Linked DNA regions of Lonchura striata. The protein of the gene in region 1 interacts with the protein of each later gene in a pairwise test. Links are inferred from orthologs where the notes say so. Each region holds a gene or a part of one and is shown in the gene's direction. Other genes may lie near its edges. The genes, in order: ATOSB, DNAJA3, KIF20A and FHL5.

Region 1 (7,466 bases):
TACATAGAAATTCTTCTTGCTGAGCAACCTTAGCCTGCCAAGCTGTAGCCAACAGCCTTTATCCCTTAGAACCCAGACTGCCAGCATCTCCAGGACAGATCTTTCGAGTTTTGTACATAGCCAGGACTCCTGTTTAATTCTGGGAAGTCCCATGTGTGTCTCAGACAACAGTGAAGTCTGTAGCACTGGGTTAATGACCTGTGTCAGACTCCAGATCATCCATCCTTTTTTCCTTGGTCTCTAAGGCCCACCATGGTACCTTGGGGATCACAATGCTGCCCTCCTCTACAAAGGTGCTGGGAGACAGCTAATAGGAGAGGCAACACTGGAACTATGAGTATAGTGTGGGTATGGGAGCAAAAGAGCAGCCCTACCTGGCCCTACTACCCTGTGTTTGTTAAAGTGATCTCAAATCCATCATTCTCACTTCTTCCTTTCCCACCAGGACTCTGAGACATGCCCAGTTTGGGATGAGGCTTTGGTGGGCACTGGGACTCAGTCAGCATACCACAGTGACTCCATCTCTATTGTGACCCCAAGCTCTGCTTGGAGATGTTACCAGAAGGAATTCCCACAGTGCCAAAAGAGAATGCCATCTCTTCCCCCGAGGGCAGTAGGACTCCCCCAGCAGGAAACTCTCCAAGTTTGATTTCTATCTTCAGTTTTACAGCTGTTTCTGTCAAACAGGTAAACCAAGCACATCATGGAACCAGGTTCTGGCGGGGGAAAGGTCCTGCAGCACTGGTTCACATTCCCCCAGGAAAATTCCCTAGCTCCAACACAGGACCACAGGGCACTACAGTGCATCTTCTCCTTGTGACAGTCTCAGAGAAAGAGGGACAGGCTTTGGCCTTTGTCTCCTCTAGTTGCAAAATACAGGGAGGACAAGAAGCATTAAACTCCACAGAGGCAGGCATTGCAGAAGATACAGTCCATGCTGCATGCCTAGGACTGGGACTGTGAGAGATACAAAAATGCAAGCCTTTTTGTGGCAACACACCGTTAAGAAAGGAAGTGACACCCTATGCTCCTCTAGTACACCTGTCTTTTCAGCTTTCTCCAGCTCCTCTACCAGCTGGGATGAGGCCATGAGTCACCACACAGTGCCTGGTCCAGCCCTGCCATTGATCCACACCCCACCCAACCTGCCACCACTTGCCAAGGGCCCCAAAACAACGTGATAGCTGATTTCCACCAGCTTCTTCCAAGGTCCTTTTAAAATTCCCAACAATCTCTTGCTGGCAGGACTCCAAGTCTTACCAGGCTTGCTTCTGCACATGGGTCCTTTATTGCTTTACCTACCTATGGACTTGGATCAGATGTACATGGTATGGCACAGCCTGCTGGCACGGGGAGTGTACAGGTGATGCAGGGGTAGCATCACCCCTATACAGGCACATCCTGCCCCATCAGCACTGACAGATGATCCATGTACTTCTCAAGGGCACTTTTGCAATTGTGAAACCTGCCCACACCAACAAAATGAGTGTGTGCATGGGGATGCCGCTCTTCCATGATGAAAACCATTAAATTAAATTAAAACTGGGGCAGGAACCTTGCTTGTGTCAGCTCCTCAGCATCCTGGAGCTTGGCACCTGACAGCCTTTTGAGTGGGAGCAGCCAGCCTGGCAAACAGGCTGAACAGCCCCAGCTCGCTGCAGGCAGGTTGGGGCAGCACTGGCAGCTCCAGGAAGGAGGTAACCCAGGGATGAACTCACCACCACTCAGTCACCTCACCAGGACACCCTTCAAAGGGAAGCCCTGCAGGCAGAAAGGCTCAAGACGGAAGGACGTCATTTCACCATGTGCTGCTTGGGACACCTCATCTTCCTGGGAAAACACCCTTCTCCCAGCCCTCCTGGCAGGCGAGTCTGGAAAGTGGCCAACTCTGGTGCAAAGCCATGCCTAATGTGCTTAAACCCCTTGTTTGCCTTCACCAACCCTTGTAAAGCCCTTTTCAAGTCCCCAGTGTGTGTAAGGAATAGATGAAGGCTACTCCTGGCAAGGCCTAGGGTGGGCCCCTCTGTAGAGAAGTAATATAGCTTGTGCAGTAAGTCTGCTCCATCCCCAAACCTCCCAAGCCTCTGGAAGTTTTTCCAGATGCTCTCCAAATCACCACAGCTTGTGTTACTGTGCCCATCAAGTGGCCATAGTTGAGGTTCTGCCCCATGGGAAGAGCAATGGGAGCAGCCTCACCCCATCAGACTGGTAAAAGGGGCTTTTGTGTCCTGCTCCTTAATCCTGCTTCTGAAGTGAGAACATGTTTCAAAAACCAGGGGAGGTTGCTAAGGGACAGTGTGCTCAGCAGGGACATCGCTCACAAACCCTCAGCACTCAGAAGCGGGAGGTAAATAACTTGGGATATTATTAATCCTTCACTGCCCACACAATAAACAGAAATGTATTATTCTTGTCAAGGACAAAGGAGCCTATATTTCCCCCCAACCAAGGAGCTGAACCAGCAAATTTTTTTGATTCAGCTCCACAGTGGTTCAGCTTTGACTGAAGTTGTTCCAGTTGAGTTCCTGTTCAGGCCAATAAAGGTTCATTAACCATTTTTTAACTGTGAACTCGTTTCAGCCAGTTTACAGTGGAGAACACAGCCTGTGTAAGCAGCTGTGTGATGGGGACTGAGCCTTTTTCAGCCCATCCCTGGTTTCCATAGCCTCTGCTGCCTTCCTGTTGGACTCCAGAATTTCTTGTCAGCTCAGCAGAGATGACATGCAGGGTCAAAAGACAGAAAAGCTAAATTTTGCCCTGGAAGTCTGTAGAAAATCTGCACTGTGAAGGAAAAATGGGCATGTGGGGAAAATGAGCTTCCTGGGCTCTTCCTGGCACCAGCACCTGTACACACAAAGTTTGAGTCAGCGGCTCCTAAGTCACAAGGAACACTGGAGAATCACATGTTCCTGTCATTACACTCAGAAATTAGACTGTTCCATACATTAAATACCTTTAGTGGCCCACAAGCTGAATGTGGGGACAGCCAGGGGTTATTTAACAAGAAATTGCTTAGAGCAGCAATCTGAGGCCCCAGGAGAAGATGGGGTCCTGAGTTGGCAGCTGCTGCTCCATGGCCACATAGCTGTCAAGAGGACATTGAGCTGCCATTTCTCCCTGCAGAGAGGCACGTGCAGGGCACGGCTGTCAGAGAACCGTCTGTCCTGCTCATGGCTATTCCCAGACAGCATCAGCACAGCTTTATCGATGACAGCACCTCCGAAAATAATGCCCCAGGATCAGCAGCAAGGCAAGGGGAGCGTTGGGACTCAGCAGCCAGTGCACTGCAGGTTCACATCCAACTCACTGTGTGCTGTCAGAAAAGGAGATCTTGGTTATATTTATCATTTGACGATACTGGTCCCCACTATTTTTAGAGTGGTGTTGCAGCTGTAGCTTCCTGAGGAGAGAGAAAAGTCGATTGGGGGACTGATCTTTACCGAACTTCACCCAAAAGTGATGAAGTCAAGGCATCTCTTCCATGACCTAAATGGCCCGTGGTCAGGCTGGTGAGCTGTGGGCTGCTTCCCCTCGGGGCAGTGGATCCTGCTGGCATCCCCACAAGCGGGTGGCACTGCCCAGGTACCCCACGGCTGCTGGGTGTTTTGGTATCTCTGAGCAGCCATATCCAGGGGGGCAGCTGCCCCCCGGGTCCGGTGCCCACGGTGGGCTCTGGCACAGGCCGGCACAGCCCGGCAGTGTGGGTAGATGGCCCCGGCCTGTGGGGCACCAGCACCAGCTGGGGAGTGGGGAACACCAGGGTGATTCCACTCGGGGCATGAGACAAGGGACACCGCGGGGGTCTCACTTTGGGGAGGCCATCTCCATGGGCAGGGAGGGTCATCTCTGGGGCTGGCACAGCTCGCATGCATGGTGCTGGGCGAAGGGTGACTGTGGAGTTGGGACATGCTGTGCCCGTGGGTGTGTGCACGGGTGGGACACGCCGTGGGGCCGGGGGCACCTCTGGGGTGGGACGTGGTAGGGACGAGACGGCTGCCCCTTGGGGTGGCTGTGCCCTTGAGTGGGACATACCGTGCCCGTGGGGCCGTGCCCGTGGGTGGGACACGCCGTGGCCGTGGGTGGGACATGGCGTTCCCGTGGGGCCGCTCCCGTGAGTGGGACACGCCGTGCTCGTGAGGCCGTGCCCGTGAGTGGGACACGCCGTGGCCGTGGGTGGGACACGCCGCGCCCGTGGGGCCGGGGTGCCCCCTCAGCCCGCAGGGTCAGGGGCGGCAGTCCCGCCCCGCGCCGAGCCAGGCCCCGCCCACGCCGCCGCCGCCGGCCAATGAAGCGCCACGCCGCCCGGGCCCGCCCCTTCCCCGCTGTCATCACACTCCCGCACGTGGAGGGGGCGGGCCGTAGGCGGGGTCTCGGCGCGGGGCTTCACCGCCCATTGGCCGCGCGGCCCCGCGGCTCGCCCGCCCCGCGCCCTGCCCCGCCCAGAGCACCAATCAGCGCGCGGGAGGCGTGTCCGCAGCGGCACCCGGAAGGAACGCAGGAGCCGCGCACAGTCGGGGCCGCGGCGGCAGCGGCGGAGGGGGCGCTGGTGGGTCCGGCGGGGCCGCGACGGGTAGGGCCGGGGGGCGCGGGGCACGGCCGGGGTCCGGCGGGGACGGGCCCCCCGTGCGGCGTGCGAGCGGGTTCGTGCGCCCCATCTCTGCCGCCGTCCTCCGGTTCCAGAAGGTTCGGGAGGGCCGTTGGGACCTGGAGCCCAGACCGCAGGGGCGAGCCGGAGCTGGGGGAGGCGCGACCAGGAGGGGCCGTGATCGGGTAGTATGGGGGAGGTCGTAAACTGAATGGGCAACTGCGAGCGGTGGGGGGCCTTGACCGAGATGTGGGTCTCTGTGCTGGGGAGGTCGTGACCGGGATGGGTGTCTGTGAGTGTGGGGGACTGTGACCGAGGTGGGGAGCTGTAGCCGGGGCACTTGGGCCGGCAAGAGGCCTGGCACCGGCGGAGGCTGTGGCAGGAGGTGCCGAGGCGGGGGGGTCAGGCGGCGGTGTGACCGCAGAGCGACTCTGGGGGGCCGGGGGTGCCCGGGGGAACTGAGGCTTCGGGAGGGCAGTGTCTGGCAGAGGCAGGTGTGGACCGAAACGGGGTGCAGCCTTTGCTGCGGGGTGTCCCCGATCCCGGCTCCCAGTTCCCCGGCAGCTTAGGGAGGCTGCGCTGCCCCTGGTCTCGCCCACCAGGGCCACGTCCTCTGCGCTGTGACATGGGCTGGGACAGCCTGTCTGCAGCTCTGCCCGCACGGTGGGGCCTCCTCCTCCTCCTCCTCTTTTTCTTCCTCCCGCGGGCATTAGCTCCAGCCCAGCTGGGACGTGGTGGGTTGTCCCGGCACGGCCCGCGGCGGTGGGGCCGGGTACCCCGGGGGCGCGGGAGGCGCGCCTCGGGCGGCACCCGCCCCGGGGTCCCTTCCCAGGCCCCGGCGTGGGGTGCGGGGTGGGCGCCGGGGCGGATGTGAACCCCGGCATCCGCCGCCCTCTGGTGACAGCCAGCCGCGGGCGGAAGGGCCTGTCGGGGGCACTCCCCTCCCGAAATCAGCAGCTGCCGTCCTACCGAGGTTTTCAAGCATCTTGCAGGTTTTATACAGAAACGGCAGCCCGGGTGTCAGGTTTGGAAAGGTGGTCTATTAGGGAAGTCAGAGGAAATGGCTGCATGGTGATTGCTGTTGAGGTGGGCTTGCTCACGACCCACCCGTGAACATAATCCATCAGTATGAACGGCACACACCTCCAGGGTTTCCACACTCCTTTTATTATTTTTCTTTGAAAGAAGGCGTGTGGAATTTGCAGTTGCAGTGGAAAATGCATGGTAGAGGAATGTTGTGCTCTAAATTTAAATTTTAAAAGTAATTTCCACTCATTGCCTTTTTAAAAACATCAGACAAGCAGAGATGTGCTTGCAGACCTGCCCTCTCCCTGAATCGTATCTGTTGGCATCAGTAAAGAGGAAAAGTTGAGAAATTGTGGAGATTGTAGCAAGCTTGAACCCTGACACAAAGCAGTGTCTTGGCAAGCTTGGTAGCACGAGGAGGTGAACAAGGTCCGGCAGGTGACATAGAAGAAAACTCCCAATGTGATAGTGCTAGAGTTACTTTTGGCAGGGCTGGGCTTTAGGTTGAGGACTGGGAGAATGAAGTCATCCTGTAAAGCCTGGTCACCGCCTTGTTTCACAGCAGCAATTCCCATGGTTTGGGTCTCAGCATGAGTGAGTGGCAGGGTGCTGATGGGGACTCTACATGTGCCAGCATGCAGTGCCAGCATGCAGTCCCAGCACTAGGGCAGGGCACTGGTGGGAGTTGGCAGGGCTGAGGGGTTCGGATGGGGCTGGTTCTGAGGGATGCTGCTGCCACAGTGTTTGTTGCCAGGGTGTCAACACTTGCCCTTGCCTGACCTCCAGCCCCTGCTCCCATAACATTTAACCGTAATACTGTATTCCTGCTGACTCTGGTGGGGCCTGGACATGTCCCTTCCCATAGAGACTAGGGTGGTCAGGACAGCAGAGCCCTGCTGTCACCACAACTATGTCCCTTGGTGAACTGGGCTTTTGGACCAAGGTCCACCCACAGTTGGAGCAGTGCTGGGGCTGTTTCAGCTGTACCACTCACCCGGGGTAGTGGGTGAAACGCCTTGTTTCTATTCCTCATGTGAGAGGTTTCTTACCCACTGAAGGAAGGAAATCTGGTGGGGTCACTCTGTACTGTGGGAACTCCATTGTTCAGAGCCGCAGCTTACTGAGGAGAAGTGCATCTTTGCCCCGGTCTTCCTCCTTGCTGTCTGCTACAGGCTGCTTGCCCTGGCACATTTCTGCATGACTGTGCTGAGTACCAGAGGCCTGAGATACCCGAACTTTGTTCTTTGAGTCTGAGGGTGATTGAAGAGGATGGCTGTTGATCTGAGTCTTCAAAGTCAAAGACTCTTGGCTCTTCCCAAGTCCTTTACATGTTCTTATTGCTCTGGGCCTGCCCAGGTTTGTCCTCTGCTAGATCTGGTTGACACCATTGTGTGATGTGTAGAAATGCACTATGACTGGGTGCCAGGACACTTCCTGATGCAGAATAAGAAAACCTGTTGTTGGTAAGTATGTGGCCACAGACAAGAAAGGAGAAAGTGAAGCCATATGGTTAGAAAAGTGGTGTCCTCAGCATGCTGTCAATGGAGCTGTAATGAAATTATCAGAGGCTTTGGTAGCTGGAGGAATTAATGAGTTGGGTTTGAAACAGTACAGATGTGAAGGGCAGCATGGGATAAATCCTGAAAGGAGATATTTGTATGCTGGCAGATGGTTTGTAACAGGTTACTTAGTGAGATTGTTGCAGGTTACTTTGTGAGAGTCTTCTCTGAGAGGCTTTTGCCTGATGTCTCTCCATGTTGCATGATTCCCAGGGACCTCCTTCTTCCAGGGATCTGTGTGGGCCTCTGTATCCTGGTAATGCCATATTACCATGTTTCTGATCCTCACTTCTGTT
Region 2 (8,005 bases), on another chromosome or scaffold:
CTCTTCCCTGCCACACTCACTCTGCCCACATCAGAGCTGCTGGTCCAGCTTGTTCCTCCTGCCACTGGAGGCAGCGATGCCTCAGCGATGCCAACTCCAGCCTGGCACTGGGTGTACTGGGAATTTCAGGGCATGCTATGAGTAATGTGGAAAGGCAGTGCTAGAAGGGTGAGAGAAAGAGCTACATGTTCAGGCCTCTCTGCAGCCTGAGAGATGAAGGAACATGGATTGATGCCAGCCTGGTAGAGCCCTTCCTCATGTCATCCTGCCCATGGGTGATGGTCCCTGGCAGGTCCCTATGTCCCTTGCCTGGCAGACAGCTCACCACAGCCTGCCAGGCTTGAACTCAGCACCCGGGCCACCTCCACAGCCCATGTGGAGCCAAACATGTCCTGTGGAGGGGGAAGGTGGCACCTGACACCCACCTGAGTGGCAGCAGAGCTGAGATATTGTCCTCTTGCCTCCATCCTCACACTCCAGGGGCACAATGCCCAGCACACCTGCAGGAGAGGGCACAGGAGCAGGTCAGGAACACCCCCGGCCTGGGACACACGAGGGGCACCCAGCTTTGCAATGCAAGCCAAGAGGTGTGGGACTGTCAGCACTTTGGGGGCTCTCAGGGAAACCCTCCTCCACTCACCCTGGTGAGTGCCCCGGGGGTCAGGGGGACTGACCCACCACCCAGCCCCACGGGGACCCTTGGCACAAATCCATCCCACTCCCCAACAGTGCTGGGGACCCTTGTTCCTCACCGGCCGCCTCGGCGCTGAAGGCGATCCAGCGGCAGCTGGCCTTCACGTGGTTCCCACAGGAGGGGGCAGAGCCTGCCCGGATGCCGCTGATCCACGCCTGGGCGCACAGGGAAAAACCTCATCAGGGTTGCCTGCTTATGGCAGGGCCTGGAGCACAGCAGCAGGACCACTGGCACAGCATGGCCAGAGAGCCTCAGCCCCAGAGGAGCTGCCGTGCCAATGGAGAGCTGGAGACTGGCGATGCCAACGGGATTATCCTGTCCTCTGGGGTGTCCCAGGCCAACGTGGCTGCTCCTGCTGCTGTCACAAAGCACAGCCCCTCACTGGGGCTGAAGGGTGGGACACAGGAGCATCCCAGCACCCAGACTGTCCCACCTCTGGGCTGTCCCACTGTGGGAAGTGTCCAAGGTCTTTGCAATAACTGGTGCCAGAGAATCTGGATGGGACAAAAGCTCTTGGGCTGTGAAGCACCACAGGGTCAAGCTGTGGCTGACTGAGGCCAACAGACACCTCCAGCAGCACACCTCCCACATGGACACACAGCCAAGGAGCTGCATTACAGCTTCAAAACCAAACTCCCACTCTGCAGTGTTTCTCAGGGCTGAGCACTGCACTCGTGGGGCCCTGGGACACCCTCCATCAGCCAGACCCCCTCCAGGCGACACGGACACCCCACCTCAAGCAGCCACGAGGGCTACAAGCTCCCTGGCACTCCCAGGGCCAAGTCCAACCCTTGACAGTGGCAATGGCAGGTGTTTTATGGCTGACACCAGGCCTGTGTGCCCACAGCAGCCCCCGGAGCTGCAGCAGGTGTCCCGAGCAGTGGAAACCCCACAAACTGGGCAGATACCTGGGTAGGGAAGGGAAACCCCGAGCCCCAGGGTTCCTCTCCTTGCACAACTTCCGTTTGAGGCCTGACAGGGAGCAGTGGTTCCTGCAGCATTTCCTCCCCTCACAGCTCAGTGCAGACCTGTTAACCCTTCTCCTGCCAAAGGCAGGTTCCTGTCCCCACACCCAGCATGTGGGCAGGGGGCTGCACTGGGGATGGGGAACAGGTCAGGAGCATGAGCAGGACCCTGGAATAAGGGCCCCACTATCTGCATCCCACCACCCTGCACTGAACCCTCAGTGAGGGTGACACCAGTCACATCTGACCCCCAGCACCCAGGGGTGCCAGCAGGACCCTTGAAGTGAGGTTTCACAGAGCTGGTCCATCCTGACCCCACAATTTCCCCACACACACAGGCAGCAGCCCTCAAGGCAGCGATCCTTCCTGCAGCGTGGCAGCATGGCCAGGAAAGCACATGAAAGCATCCTGGCTACATCCCTAGAACAAACTGTGAGCTCTCAAGGGCCATCTGCCAGCAGAGCCCTGCAGATGCTGCCTGAAGAGCAGCATCAGATGTGATCCCTGATGTTTACACTGTGCTTCCTGATCCAGCCAGGTCGGGTGTCTGCTTGTGCCTCCATAAACAGGTGCTCAGCTGGGGACACAACAGAGCTTCCCGCTGTGACACCTGAGATGGGCTTGGTGACAAGACTTCCTTCTCCACCTGCTGCCCTACTGGGAGTGTGTGGCCTCACTTCCAAGGATACGTTTCATGCCTGAATGAGAAAAGCCTTTTGGAAAAGCGTTGCACAGCAGATCCCTCCCTGCACACAGGGAGAGCACGCTGCCCCTCGGAGCTCCCCCACCACAGAACCAACACCAGGATGGGATGTCCCTGCCTGCAGGATGCCATGTCCCACCCCACAGGCACGCACACTCCCGGCTGCCAGTGCCTCATCTGAACCCTGAGATTCACAGCCAACCATTCATCCAAACCGAGATTTCAGTCACCTGAGACACACCAGGGCTGGCACACCATGTCCCCTCCCACAGCTGAAGCTCAGAGGATGTTTTGGGTCCTTGCTGGATTTGCAGAGGTGAGCACAGGCCACAGGTGGGTGCAAGGACAGCCTGGCTGGGAAATTACAGACAAGGAATGTGTGCACACCCAAGGGCTGGGAGCAGCAGCAGCCTCACTCATGGCCACGGTGCTGAGGAGGTGCTGGGTGAAGGGTACTCAGCTTGGGGAACCCCCAGAAGGGCTGTGTGTCCTGGTAATGCTCCCTGATACCACTCACCCAGCCCTGCCCCTGCATCTCTGCCCCTGCCCTACCAAATCTGTAGGGACAGGGACCTGGGAGATTTCCCCGGTCCAGATCTGCGGTTTAGGAGACAGCAGGGCAGGGCTACCCACTGCCAACACCGTGCCAGGATGGATCATGACGCTTGGCATGACTGGGGCTGGTTGTTCACGGAGCAGAGGCCAGGGCTGGGCATGACCGGCTCCGTGCTGCCCAGCGAGGCTCCCAGAGCTGCCTGGCCCCGGCGGTGCCGAGCCGCACAGCTCACGGGCAGGGTGGCGGGGCTCAGCAGCACCCCGTGGGGCCAGCACTTCCTCCGTGCCTGCGGAGCGGGGTGGCACAGCGGGGTGGCAGGAGCGAGGCCCAGCGTTTCGCTCTCGGTGCGTGCTTCCCTGGCTGGTACGGGCCAGGAGGGTGAGATACCGAACGGCAGCGGGCAGCAAGAACCGGGGATGCACCGCCTGTGCCAGCCGTGCCAGCGGCAGGAGGGGAGCAGCCACCACGGGACGGGTACCCCACGCCAGCCGCTGCCGGCCGGGGGCTGCACCGGCCCCAGAGAGGGCTGGGGTTCCCCAGCCGCCCACCTGCGGAGCGCCCCGGGGCCGGGACCCTCCGCGGAGCCCGGGATGGGCAGCCGCGGGTGCCAAGGAGGGGCCGCCCCGGGACGCACCCGCACCGCGGCCGGGAGAGCCGGGCACGGCCCCGCCGCAGCGGCGATGCCGCGGGGCCCGGACCGCGCCCTGCCGGTGCCGCGGGGCGGGGCCGGTGCTGCCCTGTCCCCGTGCCCATCCCTGTCCCTGCCCGCCGGCAGCCCCGGCCCCGCCGCCCCCGCGATCCCCCGCTACCGGCGGGTCCCGCAGCGCTCACCTCCCTGCGGGGCAGCCGGGCCTCGGTGTGCCGGAACTTGGACGCCTTGAAGCGGTTCATGGTGCTCCGGCCGTACCGCTCCGAGCCGTGCCCAGCCCAGCCCGGCCCGGCCCGGCCCGGCCCGGCCCCGCCGCTCCGCCCGCGCCGAGCCCCGCCCCGCGCCCCGCCCCTGGGCCAGCCCCGCCGGACCCCCTCACGTGTGTCCCGTGTGTCACCGTGTGTCCCGTGTGTCACCGTGAGCGGGGCACAGACCCCCAGCCCCGGCTCCTCGGACCCCCGCCAGAGCCTCCAACCCCGGCGTCGGAGCCACCGCTGGGTGGCTGCCCGGCGGTCCCGGCGCCTTCCCGGCCTCCCCCCGAGGCTCGTGGTCACCCCGTGCTGCGACCCCGGCTGGCACCCCGCTCTCCTCCCACACAGGGCAGCGGTTCCGTCGGGCTCGGGGCCGGAGCGCGGGGCCGGCGGGAGGTTTGCAGTGCCGGGGGCTCGGCGTGCTCGCCTCCTCCGCGGCCCGGCAGCCGGCGGTGAACAGAGACCGTCGTGTACTCAGAGCTGCGGGGCGGGAGGAGGAGCAGGGAGCGCTGGATCTGAGCCCGCTGGGCCCTCTGGGCCCGGCTGGAGCCCGGGTGTCACCCACGCCGGCGGAGCCAGGCTCCTGCCCCGCTTTCAGCGGGCTGAGGGCGGCGTGTGCAGGAGCGGGCACGTCCCTGTCGCCGCTGAGCCCCGCGGAGCCTCCCCCGCGCCGCGGGCCCGAGCTGTGCCGAGGAGCGCTCGGAGGCGCCAGCCCCGGGGACGCGGGCGGGAGAGAGACACGCTTGGCACGAATCGTCCTCCCCCTCTGCAGAGGAAAGCTGCTGCCTCGCTGAGGGCGCCGTGCCAGGCTGCTGTGCCGCCTGAGCGTGGGCGTGCGGCGCTGCACCCGCTGGGCTTTCGGAGCCTTTATTCCACTCCTGCGAGAGATGTCACCGGCCGGGGGAGGAGAGCAGCCCCGGAGGGGCGCGGGCCGCGAAGGCAGAGCAGAGGGCGGGTTCAGGGCGGGTTCCCGGCCCCGCCGCACGGGGCTCTGGCAGGGGGCAGTGCCCGGCTGTCCCGGCCGCGTCCCCGCCCCGCGTCCCCTCCCGCTCCGTCCCCGCGGCCCCGCCGAGCCCCGCGCATGCGCAAGCACGGGGCAGCCGCGGCCGCGGCGCCGTGCGCATGCGCGGCCCGTCCCCGCCGCAGGGTGCGCAGGCGCAGCGCCGCGCGCGGGCCAAGATGGCGGCCGGGTGCGCGTCGCGCTGGGTCGGGGCGGCCGCGGGGCGCGGGGCGGGGAACGCGCGGCCGCCGCTGCTGCTGCTGCTCCGCGGGCTCCGCGCCCCGCCCGCCCGCGGCCCGCGCCGCCTCCTGCTGCTCCGCGCCGGGCTCTGCGCCGCTGGTGAGCGGGGGGGGCGCGGGTCTTTCCCCCCGGTGCGTCCCCTGCTCCGGCCGGCCCGGCCCGGCCCTCACGGCGGCCACTCTCCCTCCTCTCCCGCAGGGACGAAACGCGCTGCCGCCGCCGCCGCCGCCGCCTTCCACAGCAGCGCGGCCCGCGCCAAGGAGGACTATTACCAGGTGCTGGGGGTGCCCCGCACCGCCACGCAGAAGGAGATCAAGAAGGCCTATTACCAGGTGCGCCGGGAGCCGCCGGCCTGCGCCCCCGGGCAGCGAGAGGAGCCGGCGCTGCCCCTTCGCTGGGGCAGGGAACAAATCCATCCCGTGTTTGCAGCCGCTAGAGACAGCGGGAAAGCTCAGCACATGGCCTTGGGGATCGCTTCCAAAGCCTGGTCTGCCTGTGCTGTCATCGCTTCTAGAAGGATCTGGGATTGCTGAGAAGATAAGGAGCAGCTCCTGTAGTTACTTGTTTTGGGTTGATAAATGAAAATGAAGAGTTTTAGATCCCTAGGAATGCATCTAGTGAATGCCAGGCTCTGCCCGATGTGTTTTTCCTGGCATGTGAGATATGCTTAAGTAAATAACTCCTGCCTGTCCCTAATGGTTGGGTTTTGTTTTTTAGTTGGCAAAGAAATACCACCCTGACACAAACAAGGATGATCCCAAAGCGAAGGAGAAGTTCTCTCAGCTGGCAGAAGCCTACGAGGTAATAGCAAGATTTTGTTGTGATGAGGAGGAAAAACTAGAGGGTGGATGAGGGCAGACGTTTCCTGTAAAAACTTGGCTGCTTTTTGATGCACTTCAATCTGGGGCACCTCTGTCCCGAGACATTACTTGGTCCAAGTATCTGATTTAGCTGCTTTGGGCTTTTTCAGTTTTCCCCTTCCTTAGCAGTGACTGGCATAGATGTCACTTCTGTGGAATTATTATCAGTTTAAGTAATCAAACCAAAAGTCCAGAGGGACTTTCACTGTGCTCCCCCAGCCCTGTTTTTGGATTCCAGCACTCTTTAGCTGATATAATAATGATCAGCTGCTTAGTGTAAGTTATTGCTGTTTTTTATAAAGTAGTAAAATCTTGTAATTTTTCTGTTGATGAGCCAAGAAACACCGGGGAAGCAGCAGCTTGTCCCTAACTCCTGTGGTGCCGAGAGCTGGGTGAGACCTTGTGGAAGGTCTGAGCCCAGAGCCAGGGATTCTCCTGGGCCCCGCAGTTGCCCTGAGGCGCGTTCCTCGCCGCAGGTGCTGAGTGACGAGGTGAAGAGGAAGCAGTACGATGCCTACGGCACGGCGAGCTTCGAGGCCGGCGCGGCCGGGGCCGGGGCTGGCGCGGGCCGGCAGTACTGGAGCAGCGGCCCCTCCATCGACCCCGAGGAGCTCTTCAAGAAGATCTTTGGGGAGTTCTCGGGATCACCTTTTGGCGATTTTCAGACTGTCTTTGACCAGCCACAGGAGGTAGGAGGTGCCTTTAATTAGGTATGAAAGTAGTGTCTCTCCCCGGCTTCTGTTGCAAGCTGTGGGAGCTTCAGTGAGGAGTTATTTCTGGGGATGTCAGTGTGTGAGTGTCCCATGGCATGGGCAGAGTCTCTTAGTTTTGCTAAGCTGTGCAGGAACACACCCCACACCTCCAGACAGGATATTTTTTCTGGGTTTGAGCTACTTCTCTGGTGTTTACTGACATCACCCAGTACTGCTGACTTGTTCCATCGCTGGAGAGGCATCGTTTCTGCTGCAGCTTGATTTACCTATGCCTCCTTTGATCTGTTATGCTAAAACCCACAAAATACCTTGTAGCTATAAACCAGGCCTTCCAGCAATATGTTTGGCTGCTGCTTAATTGGCTTAATTTTGCAACTTAATTAGCTTCATGTTGCAGTGAGGCCCATAATAAAATCTGTCTTGTTCTTCGTGTTGCAGCTAAATGCTCCTTAAGTGTTGATGATTCATGTGTTGTCTTCAGAAATGTTTGGTGTTGGGTATTCTTGGTTTTACTAAAAATGACCTTTATCATATAAGGAGAATTTCGTATTTTGATCAGTCATCTTTACTGAGAACTTTTAGCATTATTAACTGAGAATTTTTAGAATTATTTTTAGCATTGTTTAGTATTTAGCCTAAACTCTTCTCAGTCTCCTTGTCAAACCTCAGTCATGGATCTATATCCATGTTTCCTGTGCAGTATATCATGGAACTGACATTCACCCAAGCTGCAAAAGGTGTTAACAAGGAGATTGTGGTGAACATCCAGGACTCCTGTGTGCGCTGTGATGGCAAAGGACACGAACCTGGCACCAAAGCTCAGCGCTGTCACTACTGCAATGGCACGGGCATGGTAAGTGCTGAGCAGCACACCAGTTCTGTGCTTTCCCTTCCTGGGGAGGGTCACTTCATTCCATGGTGAAAAATTCTCACCACACTCATCAGCCTATCTTGGGCAAAGCTGAGTTAGTGTCAGCTTGATGCTAGTAGGCACTAGGAAGATTTTCTTTGTGTTAAAGTGCTGTGCCCAGCTGAAAGCATGAGCCTTCAGGCTGGATCCTCTGCTACTGCACATCCCACAAACCATATGAATATCATGTAATAGCTCTGAAATTCCTCAGGCAATAAATTAGTATCTTTTGACTTGCGGGCTGGAGGAAGGTGGTGAAAACCTAAGGGTAATCATAAAATAAGAAGATGCAGGTAATGATGGAGCTGCAGGCTTTGGTTTTCCATGCATCTGATTCCTTGTGTGCTTCAGTGGTTCAGTCCAGGGCTTAGTCACCATAAGGTTTTCTTGGACACTGGCAGTAATCCATGTAAATGGATTGTCCTTGGATTCATCTGAACACAGACGTTTGTAGCACTCTAAGG
Region 3 (7,151 bases), on another chromosome or scaffold:
GCATTTAAAGATACTGGCAAAGCACCTGTGGAACAAGAGGTGGCGATCCATCGCATTAGAATTACTTTGACAAGTCGCAATGTAAAATCACTGGAGAAGGGTGAGTAGTACTTCTCTGCTTACTTGGGTAGCTTGTCAAGTAATGAATAATAGGTGCCATGTAAGGCATTGCAAAATACAATGTACTGAAACCAGTTGTAATTAAAGATGTTACTGTTCGCCTTTTTGTACTTGCCTCGGCTCGCAAAGCCAATCAAAGTGCTTCACACACCAGAAAGTAAATTCTGATTTAATTTTTAATGAAAGTTGGTGTTTTGTGGGTTTTTATTATGTGGAAAACTTATGTCATAATGACTAATGTAAGAGAGTGCAGCTTCTTCCCTTTAGTTCTTACGGAGAATTTTTAAATAGTTACCATGCTTTGAATGTATAAGAACTGAAAGGCACTGGTTTCTTGATATTTTGCCATTTGTGTTATGAAGAGTTTAGTGTAACGTTCTTTAAAAAAAACTTTTAATTTAGGAACTAGCTTTGCCAGTGTTTAGTCATATAATAAAAATGTAAAAAAAGTTACTATTTGCAGGATCTTCAGGCTGATAACAGCTTAAATACGGTTTAAGCTTGTAATGCCTATTACTTACTGTTGCACCATGGCTTTACTTGTGATGTCACAACACTTTCAGTTGTACGTGGTTGGCTGTGAGGATAATGCTTTAAATGAATGGCAGTGATCGCTCATACGCTATTCTGAGCCAACATCTTGTTTAAAATACGTGCTTAAAAAAAATCAAAATAGTTGCAAACCTGAGCCATTGCTTGTCTTTTTTCAGTCTGTGCTGACTTGATCAGAGGTGCTAAGGAAAAAAACCTGAAGGTGAAGGGACCTGTTCGCATGCCCACCAAGGTACTTGACACTGTTTTTCTGCCTTAAAAATTGGTTTTCTTTCTGCAACTGTGTGCTTAAAAACATATTTTTTAAAGAACAAAAGGTGAGGTGAAAAATAGTGCTACTAAACTGAGGGTAACCCATTGTAAAAAGATGATTTCACAAGTTGCTTTGACAGCTACTTAGGATAACTGTTAAGTACAAAACTTGTTGACTGTGGAAGGGGCTTTTCTGTTCACTTTATTTTAATAACAAACTAATTTTTTAAATGAAAATAAATATGTAGGGAAGGAGTGTTAACTTAATCAGCAGACCAAACTTAGTAGGTAGCTTTCTAATGCCATAGATACCATACAGTATTTGTAGGTGATCATCTTTTCATATGATTGTAGATTACTCCTCTCAGTGCATGAACTAAATACCCCCTGTTTGACTTTGCAGACCCTGCGGATCACTACCAGGAAGACGCCTTGTGGTGAAGGTTCCAAGACCTGGGATCGCTTCCAAATGCGTATCCATAAGCGGCTCATTGACCTGCACAGCCCTTCGGAGATCGTGAAGCAGATCACTTCCATCAGCATCGAACCAGGCGTAGAAGTTGAAGTTACTATTGCCGATGCCTAAATGATACTCATCATTGAATAAAGTTGATTTACAAATTTTCATCATTTGTTTCTTTTCTTACGTTTGCCAAGAGATAGTTCTGTGCTGGTTTTTATGAAGAACAACAGAAACCACAATCAGAATGCTGTGTGAGAAGACTATATTTAAGGAAGAATATGCCAGCTGTAAATAGCAGGAAAATTTAACTTGGGCTCCTGGTTTCATTGGAGTCTGGCAACTATATGGTTGTGCAGCACTTGATGAAAAATATATTTTTAATAATTTAAGGGTTTGATTTTGGCTGAAATGTTAGTTTATACACAGACATTATATACAGTACCTGCATTAAAATTGATATTTAGGTAAAATTACCAAGTTTTTAATTATTGGTTCTTGCTGTGCAAGACTGAACTAATGCCTAGCTTATTTGGATTTTTTTTTCCCCATGTGTGTCACAATCAAAGGATCCTGGGGGTGCTAGTTGTAAAACTTCATAATTTGTGATTAACACAGTGAATTGAACAATTTTATTTCGATGTGCGTGTAGAGTCATAAAGCTGAACTATGGAACTACCTAGTTGTCTGGTTTAGATTTCCATAGATATTAATGCTAATAGCAAGCTTCATATGTAAAGCAACGAAGCAGCCATTTTTTTTGCTGCTTTTAAGTCTCTCAAAGGAACTGTGACTAATCTTAAACCAACAAAACAAAGCCCAGAGTTCTAGAAAACACTTGTTTAAATCCATTAAGGATCAGGTCGCTCCAACTGCTTCAAGCATAGGAGACAACTTGAATTCTAATTAAAACAAGCAGTGGTGGTTCTCTGCAAGAGATCCTCTGCTTCAGGTCGTTTATGTTTGCTAAGACCTAAAATTGACCAAAGCTTGAGCTTTCTTACTCAACAGATACAAGAGGCTTTCAATTTCTTTAAGGCCTTACAAGGATTCTCACCCTCCACTTAGGCTTGAGAGCTTGGGTAGAAGGGAGGTGAGTGAGTTAATGTGAACAGATTGTTTCTCAAGGAAGTAGGCTTGACAATTATGTGGAGGGGGAAATACCCCCCAACACAAAATACCTGTGTCTTCCTTAAAGTCTGTTTCTGGTAATACGCCACAAATAAAAGCTGCCTGACAAATAACTTCTAGCTATAGTTTTAAAATTACTTGTATTATATGGATTGCTCTTTACAGGAGTAAATGGGCAAACAAATAGCATGTGGAGATCTGGTGGCATGAGTTACAGACTACTTAAGTAGTCTGATTACAGAGTAGCCCTGTGTCAAACGTGACTGGAGGGATCTAGGCACGGCTGGCTGGGTTTGACACTATTTCTGCCTTAGCTTTTTCCCGTTGGTCAAAGCGGGAACAGTTTTGGTATCGGCTTACACCTGGCTGTACCTCTGACTTGCCGGATGCCTCTTAAACACACCTAAATGACCTGAAGTCCCAAGGACCAAATTCCTTTGTCATCTCTTCACTTATCTCCAAGTTACCCATAAACACAGATGCATCTTTCCCTTTGTGTATGGGTGCCGCTCTGTGCAGAAATACTGCTGCCTGCCTGCTGCGAGCAGGCCGGCTCGCACCGGGGTGCGGTACATTTGTTACCGGCAGGGTCGGTCCTCAGCTTCTGGAAGGCGCTGGATCGCGGAGTCCTCCAGGCTCATCCCGCCTTCCCCCGGCCCGCCGTCCTTGACCTGCACACTCCTGGCTTTCGCGTGACCCGTTTCGCGATTTTATTTATTTCCTGTTTCGTTTTCTACTTCTACACCGCGGCAGCGCCGGGACGGTTGCGTAACACCACGCTAACTTTATATAACCCGCTCGGACGGAAACATTTAGGTACCCGCGTATCCCCCGCCCATCTTCCTCCTCCCCTTCTGCCAGGCAGAACACCCTCCCTCCTCTGGCCGCCCGGCAGTCGGTTCAGAGCTCTTCTTTGCCGCCGTGCCTTACTAGGGACCATAACCACACCCGCCGCGTTGCTCCGCCCCGCCCCGCTCCCTCCCGCTGCCCCCATTCCCGCCTTCCCTCCCGTGCGCTGTGCGGCGGCGCCCCCTGCCGGGCTGAGGCAGCTCTGCCGGTGCCTTCATCACCCCCCCCATCCCCGCTCCCCCGCGCTCGGCCAATCAGCGCCCGCCTTCCCCCGCGCTCGGCCAATCAGCGCCCGCCTCTCCTCCCAAAACGCCCCCCCACGCTTACGCGGGCCCGGCTCGCGAGTTCCCGCGCGCGCCAAGGTAGCGGCGCTGGCGGGAGCGGGAATGGGAGCGGGCCGGGGGACCCCAGCCCGGCCGGGGGACCCCAGCCCGGCCGGGGGACCCCAGCGCGGCCGGGGGACCCCAGCCCGGCCGGGGGACTGCGGGTGGATGAGAGCAGTGCCCAGCTGAGGCTGCTAGCGCGCTTTCCCTTGTGTGTTACGTAGTATAACCTGCCGCGTGGGTTTTTTTTGTTTGTGTTTTTTTTTTTTTTTTTTTTGAAGGTCATACTCCCCAAACTTCTCTAGATTGCCCTGTCTTCTTCGGAAGTGCTCGTTTATATACGAGCCGGCCCCATCTCTGTTATGCTCCGTATGTATTTTTGTTCGTTCTCTCAGATAATGATGGGCTTTTTTTTTTTTTTTTTTTTAATCCCTTTCTTTACAAGTTCCTTTGCAGAGAACGATGGCTGATGAGAGGAAGAACTATGTTTCCACGGAAGTGTGTGATGTGTTGGAATCGGTTTCTTTTCTGAGTGTAGATGGTAAACCTTCCCCCTTGGAATCAACAGTATTGCCCAATACAGAGGAACAGCAGGTGTGGATTGGTTTTACAAGGTGTATTCTGGTGAAACTGGGCTGTTTATTGATGGATTTTTTTTTTTTTTAAGCTTTAATAAATGTTTCTTTGGTAAGAACTGCTGTACTTCTCTGCCCCGGGATGTGTTTGATTCTTCTGCTTATTTCTCATTGTTTACACACGGGTCATAGCTCGCACCAAATGCGAACCCATGGTCAGTGCTATGCGATATGATGTGCTAAACCTTGTGAAAAAAACAAGTAAAGGACTTCAGTAATTGCAATTTGAATGTAATGAGACTGTACTATTCTTTTTAATAAGCTTTAAAAAATACACAGATCCTTGATGTAAAAACTCACTAGGTGCTTGGAAATAAAAATCTATAATGCTCTGCTGTGCTTGAGCAGAAGTAGTTCTACCCAGCTCTGCGTTTTTAGAGGGATCCGTTTCCTATGTGACTTTTCCTCAGATGATTTCACTTTGAGTGATTACTGCTGGTCATGACAGGGCTGTGGGGAACTCGAGTAAATCCATCTGCTGAATGAAACGTTGCCAAAGTAAAGACCAAAACTCCTTGAGAAAGCAAGGAGTGCTGGGATTCCTCTAAAATGCTTCTTGCTATAATTGCTTTACTTGGGAGGAGAGAGTTGTATAATGGTTGGGGGATAGAAAAGGCCGCCTGGGCAACTGAGACTGGTTGCCTGCTTGCTACTGTGAGGAAGCTGAGGGTGTGGTGGTGCCTGGATGGTGGTTAAGGAAGTGGTCTCTTGAGGCTAAGAATGTGTCAGTCAGTGCTAATTGAACACGCTGCATACAGAATGAAAGTGCAATACTGTGTAGCAGCTGTTAAACACAGCTTGAATTCAGTACAGCCGGAGACCAGAAGGTGGAAGCAGTGCAATTCGTGCCCCTGATAGTGTGCTCTTTTAAAATCACGAACACTGGTTTTGTTGTGAAAGAATGCTAAAGGGAGGGGAATAGTTGGGGGGGGCACAGGAAAAATGGGTTGCTTTAGGACAGTAGAAGGGAAAGAAGCAAATAAAAGCTTTGAGTCTGAAATTGACATGAAAGAAAACATAAGACATTAATATAAAATAGGAAACAATATCAGATACATATGCTGATATGATTCGGGGCTGTTCTGTTTAAAAAGTGGCAATTATAACTGTGTTTTGTGTCTTTCTTCTTTTTAATGAATAGGTATATGAGCCTTTGAAAGTCTTCTTGAGAGTGAGACCCTTTTCTATAGCAGAGCTTGAAAGCCATGAATCCCAGGTTTGTTGTAGAACTAAGAAATAATTTTTTTTTCTCCTCTGAACAACACATAGTATTATAAGGCCAAACTTTCTTTTATATAAGCTATGTACTGCCCTTGGAATGGAATATGGAATTATTTGGCATCTGGATAGATGCAAGATTTTTTTTTCCACCCTCACGACTTCTAATAATTTCTATGATATAGACATGTACACCTGTAGCTCTTCAAAGTTTCACTGGGTATATTATTTAAAAATTGGTCTCAACTCTCTGTAGTGCTGAAGATACAAAGGAGTTCCATGGAAGAGATTATGCAATTCTAGTTGTAATTTGACTATCTGACTCTTAAGCTTCTTTTAAATGCTTGAATAATCTCCTACCTCATCCTGATGACTTCTTTCTCAGCCTGTCAAAAATCTTCTGTAACCTATACTGTCAGATTCAGATGCTTCAGTGTTTCATACATACACATTTCATACAAACATTTAGAAGTGCTCCTCCTTCCTGCATTGTTATCACTGATGAAAAGAATTCCTTTAGCTGTCTTTGGAGGACAAAGATCTCTATATCATATCTCTTAGCCCTTGTCTTTGCAGGCTGTCTGATTGTGGAGAGGTCAGCTTGAAGAACTCTAAGAAGCATTTAATGCTAATTCTTATTTGCTTCTTGCAAATAGTTTTTTAAAAATGCATTTCTTGCTTTTGATCTACTGGAGTTGGAACCTTTGTATTGTTTTCACTTGGATAATTCTTCCCTCTCTTGCCCCCAGCTTCCCTTTGCCTTTTCTTAGCTCTCCTTGAATAGTGCTTCCAGTTTGGTAAATTCCACAGTCTGAGCTGGCTTCAATTGTAAATTGATTTGCAAAATCAGATTGTTTCAGGAGTTGTTGAGTACATTCCTCTTTGGAGTGAGACATTTCTTAAAAGCAGGGAAGAAAAAATGAACATTGAGGTTTGTACAAAATTTTTTGTTTCATGTGGTTCAGGCTGAAATAGTTGAACTTCCAACCTATTAGCTGTATAATCTGTTTTGCATGTGATTAAGGCGTTTTTCTGAGCCTCCAAAACCAGAATGATTTAAAGATCTTCAACATTTTCAGTGTTTTCTACTTTCTTTATTATCACCTGAATCCAAGAAGAAAATGCTTGGTAACAAATGGAAGAAACCCACACAAAACAGTCAAGTAAGCCTCACTTCCTGATCATTAAATCAGATCAATGTAATTTGTAGGTCTTTTATTCCTCCTTGCCATGCATAATTTTCAGGAAAGCACCTTTGTTCCAAATATGTGGCACAAAAAAAAAAAAAAAAGTAGAACCCAGGACTGATTCCTTACAGTTATAGGCTGATGCTTTAAACAAAGACAATCAGCAGGTTAACTGGTCAGTTGATGCTTAAAGAGATAATGATTTATAGAAGTTAAACTTAAGAGCTCTGGGTGAAATTCTGTACTCCCTGTCAGCAATTGTCCAGAGTCACCTGTGGGAAAGTAGGATATAAATGATGTGTGGTTTTGGATATAAATGATGTGTTCAGCACCAGAAATGGTCCAGCTCCTGCCAACTTACCTGCAGGGTTAGCTGGGGGAGACCAGTGGAGTGAATTGTCACCATCTGGCTTCCATCTCTGCA
Region 4 (7,530 bases), on another chromosome or scaffold:
CACTTGTGGACCATGAAGCAGAATATTTGGATTCTTACAGCTGTGTCCTGTTTGGCATATGTCCTGGCTGCTTAAAGGAGGATTTCAACAGTGAGAACTCTGCACTCACTCAGATGCTTCCAGGACCTGACGCTGTATTACTGTCCTGTGCCACAGAGATAAGATAGCTCAGAGTTAATATCTGTGTCTTCTTTCCAGTAGGTTCTTGGTTTGCCTTGATCTGTAATATATGCCCCTAGTTTCTATTGCTTCTGTAGCCATTTTTAGAAAAGCAAATATTACAGAACTCTTAATGTATGTAAATGCATGAGACAAAAATAGAAATAGAGAAAATTGTCAGCAAATTCATGTAAATAAGGCAAATAGCATTAGAAGATAAAAGAATGCACTTACATGAAAATGAACAAGTGCCTAGGGCAACTTGCAAGGGTGTCCTCATCATAAGATATCAAATTGTTTTTCTTATCCTTCAGTGCTGTTCAAAGGATTTTTTCCCATCTTTTTTTTTTTTTCTTTCTGCCTCTCTAAGAAATAGTTTGTTGTTAAAGAAAAAGATCATGGAGTTCAGTGGTAGATATATTTAGATTAAGAAATATTCCATTAGAATTTCCACAAAGTGAAAGATAGAACACTTTTACCTGTATGTACATATCTACATCCATATGTATATACTAATTCTTTTCTCAGTAGTATGAATGTTTTTGGGCTTTTTATTTTTTTATGATGTCAGGAAGATTAACATATATTTATAGAAAACATCAAGATTAATTATTGAAATGTATATTAACCTTCTGGCTCTGCTTTTTAGCTCCAATGGGAAAAAAACCAAAACATTCTTTTCCTGATGGTTCCATATTTATCAGGACTCAACTTCACAACCATGTTCTTACAGCTGTCTTCACTGGAAGTCTTCTAGTGCATTTTATGTGAAATAATTTGACTCTCCAGAAAGTCCCTGTCTGAATTTGTTGTAGCTAAATTCTATCTTAATCTGCTTTAACAGCAGGCTGACTGACTTTTTTGTATTATCATCTCTTTTATCATTCAGTCCATGAGACTGCTGCATCCTCAAATCTGACCCCAGGGACTCCAGTTACAATGTCCTCATGTCCTTGGCAACATCTCTCTGCACCTTCTTGGAATATTCTTAACCTTTAAAATGATAGCTCGTATCCCTGCTAACCAGGTACATAAAAATCAACAGTATTTAGCTTCCAATTGAAAATGTTCCAATTTAAATAATAAAATCATCTTTTCCCAAGGAAGGGCAACATGGCAGTCTTTCCCTGTGCCTAGGACTGGAGTTAGCAGCTGGAATGCTGGAGTCAGCATTTCATTCCACGAGAGTGAATAACATCAGATCTCCAGAGATTTCTTAGCTGACCTTCAAAACACAAAGTCTAGCTTCCAGCAAACTTAAAGTAAACATATTTCTCTAGAGATTAGGATCAAAGCACAAGAAAAACATTCTACTTCACTGTGTGGCGCTCGTACCATTACTTATTTATTGGAGCATGGATAAGTGGTGCTGGGAGTGATGAGATTTACCTTTTTTGTTGCATTTTCTAATGGTAAAAGTAGTTCTCAAAGGTTACCCATATTTTTGCCAAAAGGTTTTCAAAAAAATCTTCATTCTTTTGCATACCATTGCTGCTTCATTCCCAAACATGGTCTTTTATGATGATTCATGGTCAAACTGAAGATTTTCTGAAGAAAAGTCTTGGGCACCTTGAGCATTTTACTAGAGAAGCAGCCCAAGGACACCCTCAGGCTTTGACTCTGTTCTTGGGGTATTTTATTAAAGTTCTCAAGCAACAGCTCTCATCTGTACAACAGGATTAATAATACTTTGTTCTTATATCCATATAGGGGTTTAAGAGAATAATCACGTTGCAAATTCAGTAGTTCTGGAGTATTACAGTAGTGGGTCTTGTTTGTGCACACAGCCTGTGCTTCCTGGAACAGACTGACTTTCTGGGGGAGAAAAAGCATTAATCAAGATAGCCACGTTTTAAAGAAAATTATTTGGAATGCAGAGGTTTTGATAACTTAGAAAACCTGATTGACATTTATTAGGATAAAAAAACAGAGATGTTTCTACAGACATGGGAAGCTATTTGTTGGTGAGCTTTGTGTAACAAAAATGTGCTATAAGTAACAAAACTTTTATGAATGCCCTGTTTGGATTTTGCTGTTGCCACTTTTAGACTGAGATGAAACTCTGTCAGGAAGCAGGAGTACTGATCCAGCACGGAGGGGATCAGAAAGGTGGTTCACTTGGGGTTATCCTCCAAGGCAGTTCATAACTTTAATTCCCACTAAAAAAAATGAAAATCCTCTGAAACCCAGTTTTCAAGCCTTTTCTGTGACCTTAACTATGGAGTTAACCATAAACACTCCTTGATTGTGTCCTTAGACACCAATTCATACTTCTTCCCCAATAAAGAGCAAAATGGGCAAAACTTAACCTTGACTTTGGTCATGACTGTGATTGTGTATTAAATGAACTGAGCTCTGCCTGGTTTTATATGTCATGTTCTGTAAATGTACAAGCTGATGGATGTAATTTTCTTATATAAATGGGTTTATTTGTTACACATTCAAATCTGTTTGATCTTAAGGAAATGGAAGTCCTGATTCAAGCCCTGTTATATTATTTTTCCAAGGATATCACATAAAACACATCAGAAATATTTTTAAGAAAGCATGTTTCCCACTGATCTGGGTTCCAGATTATTTCCTTACTACACACTGTCTTGGCTGACACAAATATTAAGGGCAGTAAGAAATACCATATATCAATTCAACCCCAAAGATTTTCAATTTATAGGAACAACAAGCTTTCTAGCCAAGTCATTACTTTTGGTCTGAAATTAGTATGACAGCCGCTCTCCCTGCCCCCTTTTCACTTTTTTACTACTACATCTCCCAGAACAGATTCATAAATGCCTGGCCTTATGCGTTGGTGCTAGGGGAAACCTGCAGTAATTGCTTTTTTCTCACAGCTCAAACAACCATTTTGGTTTAGAGCTTACCAAAGCAGAAACCCAGGAAAATATTTTATGCCTTTTTAAAGCTCAACTGTAGGTATGGTTCAGGCCATCAGTGAGTGCATAAAAACAAAGTGTGAGGTTGCAACTCTAAGTGGGCTAGATGTAGGCTTTGTCATGGATAAGAACTCCCTCAAATTTTCTCTATGTTCTTATATTGTCTTCTGCATGTTCTACTTTATTCTCAGGCTCTGCATCTGGTTAAGAGAAACTAATTTGCCCTGTTATTCAAAGTGCAAAAATTTCAGCTGCCCAAAGTCACTGACACATAAATATTTTAGACCTTCTCCAGTTGTTTTCAACTCCTCTAAAATTAATGATTGCTGGTGCTGGCTGCAGATACACTCATTGAGTTTAATGAAGAGTGCAACCCAATGAGCCCAGCAGATGTTTTCGGTGTTGCTTCACTATGAACTTTCTGGTTTCTTCTTCCTTCATTTCCAAGAATCAAGACCCAATTTTAGCAAAGAGATGATGATCCAACCAGCAATAAGAAGACTGAAATAGGGCTTAAAATCCACAATTCTTAAAACATCTATTATTGCAGATCTATAAGCAGCTGAGGTTTGGATGTTTGTCCAAGCCTCTTAAGCCTGAAAAACTGAAGGATGGGAAATTCATACAACTGATTCTCAATAGATTTGTGGTATTTCCTGCACTTGTCTGGCACAGAAATATAAACTATTTCACATTATTTTGGTACTGCCAATGTGGAATCCAATATAGAAATAAAGAAAAATGTAAGAAAAACAATCTTTTCCAATAACAACAAGGAAAACTTTCTTTGAGTTCTGATTTTGTTTGACTTGCTATTTAGTTTATTTTTCTTTATATTTTACTCTTTTACTCTCCGGGAATATTTGTGTGACTTTAAAATGTCGCCAAATATTAGCAGCACAGTTGGAATAATGCAAAAAACAGTCATATATCCTGGAGCCCCTTGTCTTCCTTCCATTGGGTCAGGTAGATGTGGGGGTATTTTGAAAAGAAAGGAACGAGTAGAAGGACACGAGTATCAAGAGCAAGTCAGGAACACACTACAAAGTGCCTGCCTCTTCTCTTTGGCCTTTTAACTCTGCAGTTGGTTTCATTTCTGAATTATTGCTTCTATCTCCATTACCCAATTTCTGGATGAAGTATATCTCAGGATCCAGTACATAATGCTCATAATGCCAGTAGTTTTATGTAGGGAATGTGAAGTTGGCTTCATTTTCAGGTGTCTGGCCTGAAACAGCGTTAGAATAAGCTGAAGCAGCCCTCTTGCTCCTCATCATGTAAGTGATACAATTCACAGTATATGTTGTTAAAGGCTACCATTTTGTTGTTGAACAAGCCAGCATTAAGAAATCCAGGGCACTGCAAATGACCAGGAAATGCCTGTCTTTCACAGGTAATGCAGCATTACTTAGTATTTGAGCAAGCATTATGCACTGAATTACACGACTTTTCCATCTTTTGCAGATCACGTGGAGGGTCCCAGCAGGATGACCAGCAGCCACACAGATTGTCATTTCTGCCTGCAGTCCCTCCGTGGCAGGAAATATGCACTAAGAGAAGAAAATGCTTACTGTGTTCCGTGCTATGACAGCCTGTATGCCAACCCCTGCCAGGAGTGCAAGCAGCTCATTGAGTGCAACTCCAAGGTAAAGATTTGGCTTGAACTTTTTGTTCCTTGTTAAATTATACACAAATCAAATTTCTTTAATGGTAGATTTGATATCCACCCCTTTTCATATCCCTGTATTGCTGAAGAGACCTAGCCATAGCTGTTGTACATCCACACACAGCAGTGAAACAGTGCTATTTTCCATGAAAAAGGAAAGCTCTGGGATCAAAGATGAGGAAATCTGCACATGCATATGCCCCAGGTTTACAGCAAGGCTGTGGTGGGTGTGTGGACCTCAGCTAAGCTCCATCCTTCACCTCCAGTCACTCATTGGCTGCAGGGGCTGCACAGTGCTGGAGGGGTGATAGGGTGGATGGTGCAATTCAGTGTATCAGGTTGATTGACACCTCAGAATTTCTGAGACATGTTCATTGAATAAATGTTTTGAGCATTGAATAAATTACTTTTACTGTAGGTGTTGACAAGCAGATGCCAAGCTTAGAAGACAACGTTTATAATTTGCATATTCTCTCTCTCTCTTTTGGAAATAAAGTATTTTTTAATTTCTGCTAAATTCCATGCTTACCTTGCTCATCTCACAGATGGTATATTAGTGGCAGTGTTTCTGCTGCCTGTCTTTCACCTCTCAGTTTTTTACAATATTAATTAATAATTCAAGCTCTTCTGTGGTTTTTGACAGGGTTTCTAGTACCCCATACTTCAATATAGAGGACATACACTTGACATTGAATTTTAAGGTCAAATGAAACCTATCAAAAATCATTTATTTTGCCAAGTTCAGTGTGTACTGGTCACCTTCTCCCCATGCTTTCTTTGCCTATGTTCCTTAGAAATAAAAGGACAGAAATATATTAAAATAAACATATTGGAAGGCTTTCCCAGCCCAAGCACTTCAAAGCACATAGTCTACATCCAGGAATCATCTAAGGAAAATGCTGATTTGGTTGAAGACACTCCTCAAACTCTCATCAGCATTTCACCCACAGCAACACTGTACACGTAGCAGCAGTCAGATTCACCAGGAGAACACATGCTTTGAGTTCACTTAATTTCATCTTTAAAATTAAAAATTAAATAAGTGACAGGATTACTCTTGTTGAGGATCATAAACAAAAAGCCATGTCTTTGGACTGAATGGAAGGGAAAAATGAGAGGAAAAAGCAGACGTGTAAGAAAGGAGTGCACCTGGCTAGAGACATCTAGAAAAGTGGCACACAGAGATCTACAGCTGATTGTCTCACCTCTGCCAAGGGGTTAGAGCTTGGTTTTCTTCCTCTCCTCCTCACTCAGTCTTTGCCTCAGGCTGCTCTGGGCTGACAGCCGAGTTCCTGCAAGGTTCAGAGTGCTAACGAAAGCAAATGCAACTGGTAAATGCTCAGCACCTCCTGAAGTGAAGCATGGTATTTCTTTTATTTTTAGCTCTTTAAAAGGCAGGGACATGATCAAGGAGAACAATGAGATTGGATTTGTGCCCTTTCATGTTTCTTACTTATAAAAGAGTCCTGGAAGGGTTTGTTTTTTAAGCTGGGAGGGTTTTTTGGAGGTGCATTTTTCCCTGTCTTTTCTAACGGTGGGGAAATTAAATCTGCTGTTTGGTCTTTTTTTTTTTTTTTTTGAGTTCTTAGTCAGGATCTCATATATATACTGTTAGCTCTTTCATCCCTTAAGCCCACTGACTCTTAAACAAACATTTTTCTGCCAAGTTTTCAGGGGGATTTATATCAGATGTATCAGATATATCAAAAGGAATTTTTTTTAATCTTGCTAATAATTATTTTGTTCTCAATAAGATTTTAATTGCTTGATTTCTGACATAACAGCATTCTGTCATGTCAGCTGGAAGTAGTAACACTGAAAATATTAATTTCAAATTCTATAGAATATGGACTTCCTCTCCAGTGGTCTGTGCACATTAAAAATGTTGATCACTCGTTTCCCCTTAAAAGACAACTGTAATATATAATGTTGTTTTTCCAATACAAACATACCTCTGTGTTACATAAGGAAGGACATTCTGTCAAAGAAGCTCCTAATGGCATCTGCAAGAGATCCACACAACAATGTGACACTGAGTACCTGCCTCTTCCCTGAGCACACTTCTGGCTGGGTCCGCCCCTGCGATGCTCTTCCTTTCTTGTTTTAGTTCTGGAAGGAATTGAAGGATAAAACCACTGTAAATAAATATTCTCACTAACATGGACTTACTTTCTCCAAGGATCTGGCCTACAAAGGCCGCCACTGGCATGAGGGGTGCTTCAGGTGTGCCAAGTGCAGTCGCTCACTCGTGGAGAAACCCTTTGCTGCCAAGGACGAGGTCTTGCTGTGCACCGAGTGCTACTCTGATGAGTACTCATCCAAGTGTTTTCACTGCCAGAAGACCATTATGCCTGGTAAGACAACAGGGGCCCTTTGCTGAGAAATGGAACCACATTTTTAATGATAACCACCTCCTGGAATAACCAAGTTACAAGACCCTTGACTTTCAGAACAGCTTGGAGGAGACTACTCTTCCTTTGTGTGGAATTCTCCCAGCAGTGGGGAGAAGGCAGGCAGACACTTCTGATCACTAACAGGTCTTATGAATCCTTTTAAAAATATTAAGAGTTCAATGCAGGGTAAAATGTGTCCATGTGATGTCCTTGATTCTGTTGCAGTTCTTAGGAAGCATATCCCACTGTGAGCATAAGCAGACAAACAGAGCTATTGTGAGCAGAAGTGCCAGATTAGATAAATCATCTGCATGTTTCCCACATTGACCAGACCCTGTGTTTGTGTTCTTTATCCTAGTGCTTTCACTCAGAAATATTTTTTTGTTTAAATTGTCAAAACATGACAATTTGCTTTCAGATCATT

What was found.
Region 2: the proteins of ATOSB (region 1) and DNAJA3 interact in binary tests that used the Homo sapiens proteins (3 or more experiments, as listed by UniProt). The link is inferred for Lonchura striata from reciprocal best matches to the Homo sapiens genes ATOSB and DNAJA3.
Region 3: the proteins of ATOSB (region 1) and KIF20A interact in binary tests that used the Homo sapiens proteins (3 or more experiments, as listed by UniProt). The two-hybrid records come from large-scale screens. The link is inferred for Lonchura striata from reciprocal best matches to the Homo sapiens genes ATOSB and KIF20A.
Region 4: the proteins of ATOSB (region 1) and FHL5 interact in binary tests that used the Homo sapiens proteins (3 or more experiments, as listed by UniProt). The two-hybrid records come from large-scale screens. The link is inferred for Lonchura striata from reciprocal best matches to the Homo sapiens genes ATOSB and FHL5.

The regions. Positions count from the first base shown.
Region 1 is NC_134642.1:40,208,873-40,216,338, forward strand, and holds the start of ATOSB (atos homolog protein B), read left to right. Parts: upstream 1-4,464; 5' UTR 4,465-4,546; intron 4,547-7,466. UniProt on the Homo sapiens protein: Transcription regulator that may syncronize transcriptional and translational programs.
Region 2 is NC_134618.1:3,662,897-3,670,901, reverse strand, and holds the start of DNAJA3 (dnaJ homolog subfamily A member 3, mitochondrial), read left to right. Parts: upstream 1-4,997; coding exon 4,998-5,157; intron 5,158-5,256; coding exon 5,257-5,390; intron 5,391-5,775; coding exon 5,776-5,859; intron 5,860-6,394; coding exon 6,395-6,607; intron 6,608-7,331; coding exon 7,332-7,484; intron 7,485-8,005. Other genes in the region: CORO7 (coronin-7), read right to left, coding at 426-500, 753-849, 3,750-3,809. UniProt on the Homo sapiens protein: Modulates apoptotic signal transduction or effector structures within the mitochondrial matrix. Affect cytochrome C release from the mitochondria and caspase 3 activation, but not caspase 8 activation.
Region 3 is NC_134603.1:39,023,469-39,030,619, forward strand, and holds the start of KIF20A (kinesin-like protein KIF20A), read left to right. Parts: upstream 1-4,149; coding exon 4,150-4,281; intron 4,282-5,463; coding exon 5,464-5,538; intron 5,539-7,151. Other genes in the region: RPS20 (small ribosomal subunit protein uS10), read left to right, coding at 1-100, 831-904, 1,328-1,510. UniProt on the Homo sapiens protein: Mitotic kinesin required for chromosome passenger complex (CPC)-mediated cytokinesis. Following phosphorylation by PLK1, involved in recruitment of PLK1 to the central spindle. Interacts with guanosine triphosphate (GTP)-bound forms of RAB6A and RAB6B.
Region 4 is NC_134605.1:75,234,785-75,242,314, reverse strand, and holds the start of FHL5 (four and a half LIM domains protein 5), read left to right. Parts: upstream 1-4,522; 5' UTR 4,523-4,534; coding exon 4,535-4,693; intron 4,694-6,892; coding exon 6,893-7,067; intron 7,068-7,530. UniProt on the Homo sapiens protein: May be involved in the regulation of spermatogenesis. Stimulates CREM transcriptional activity in a phosphorylation-independent manner.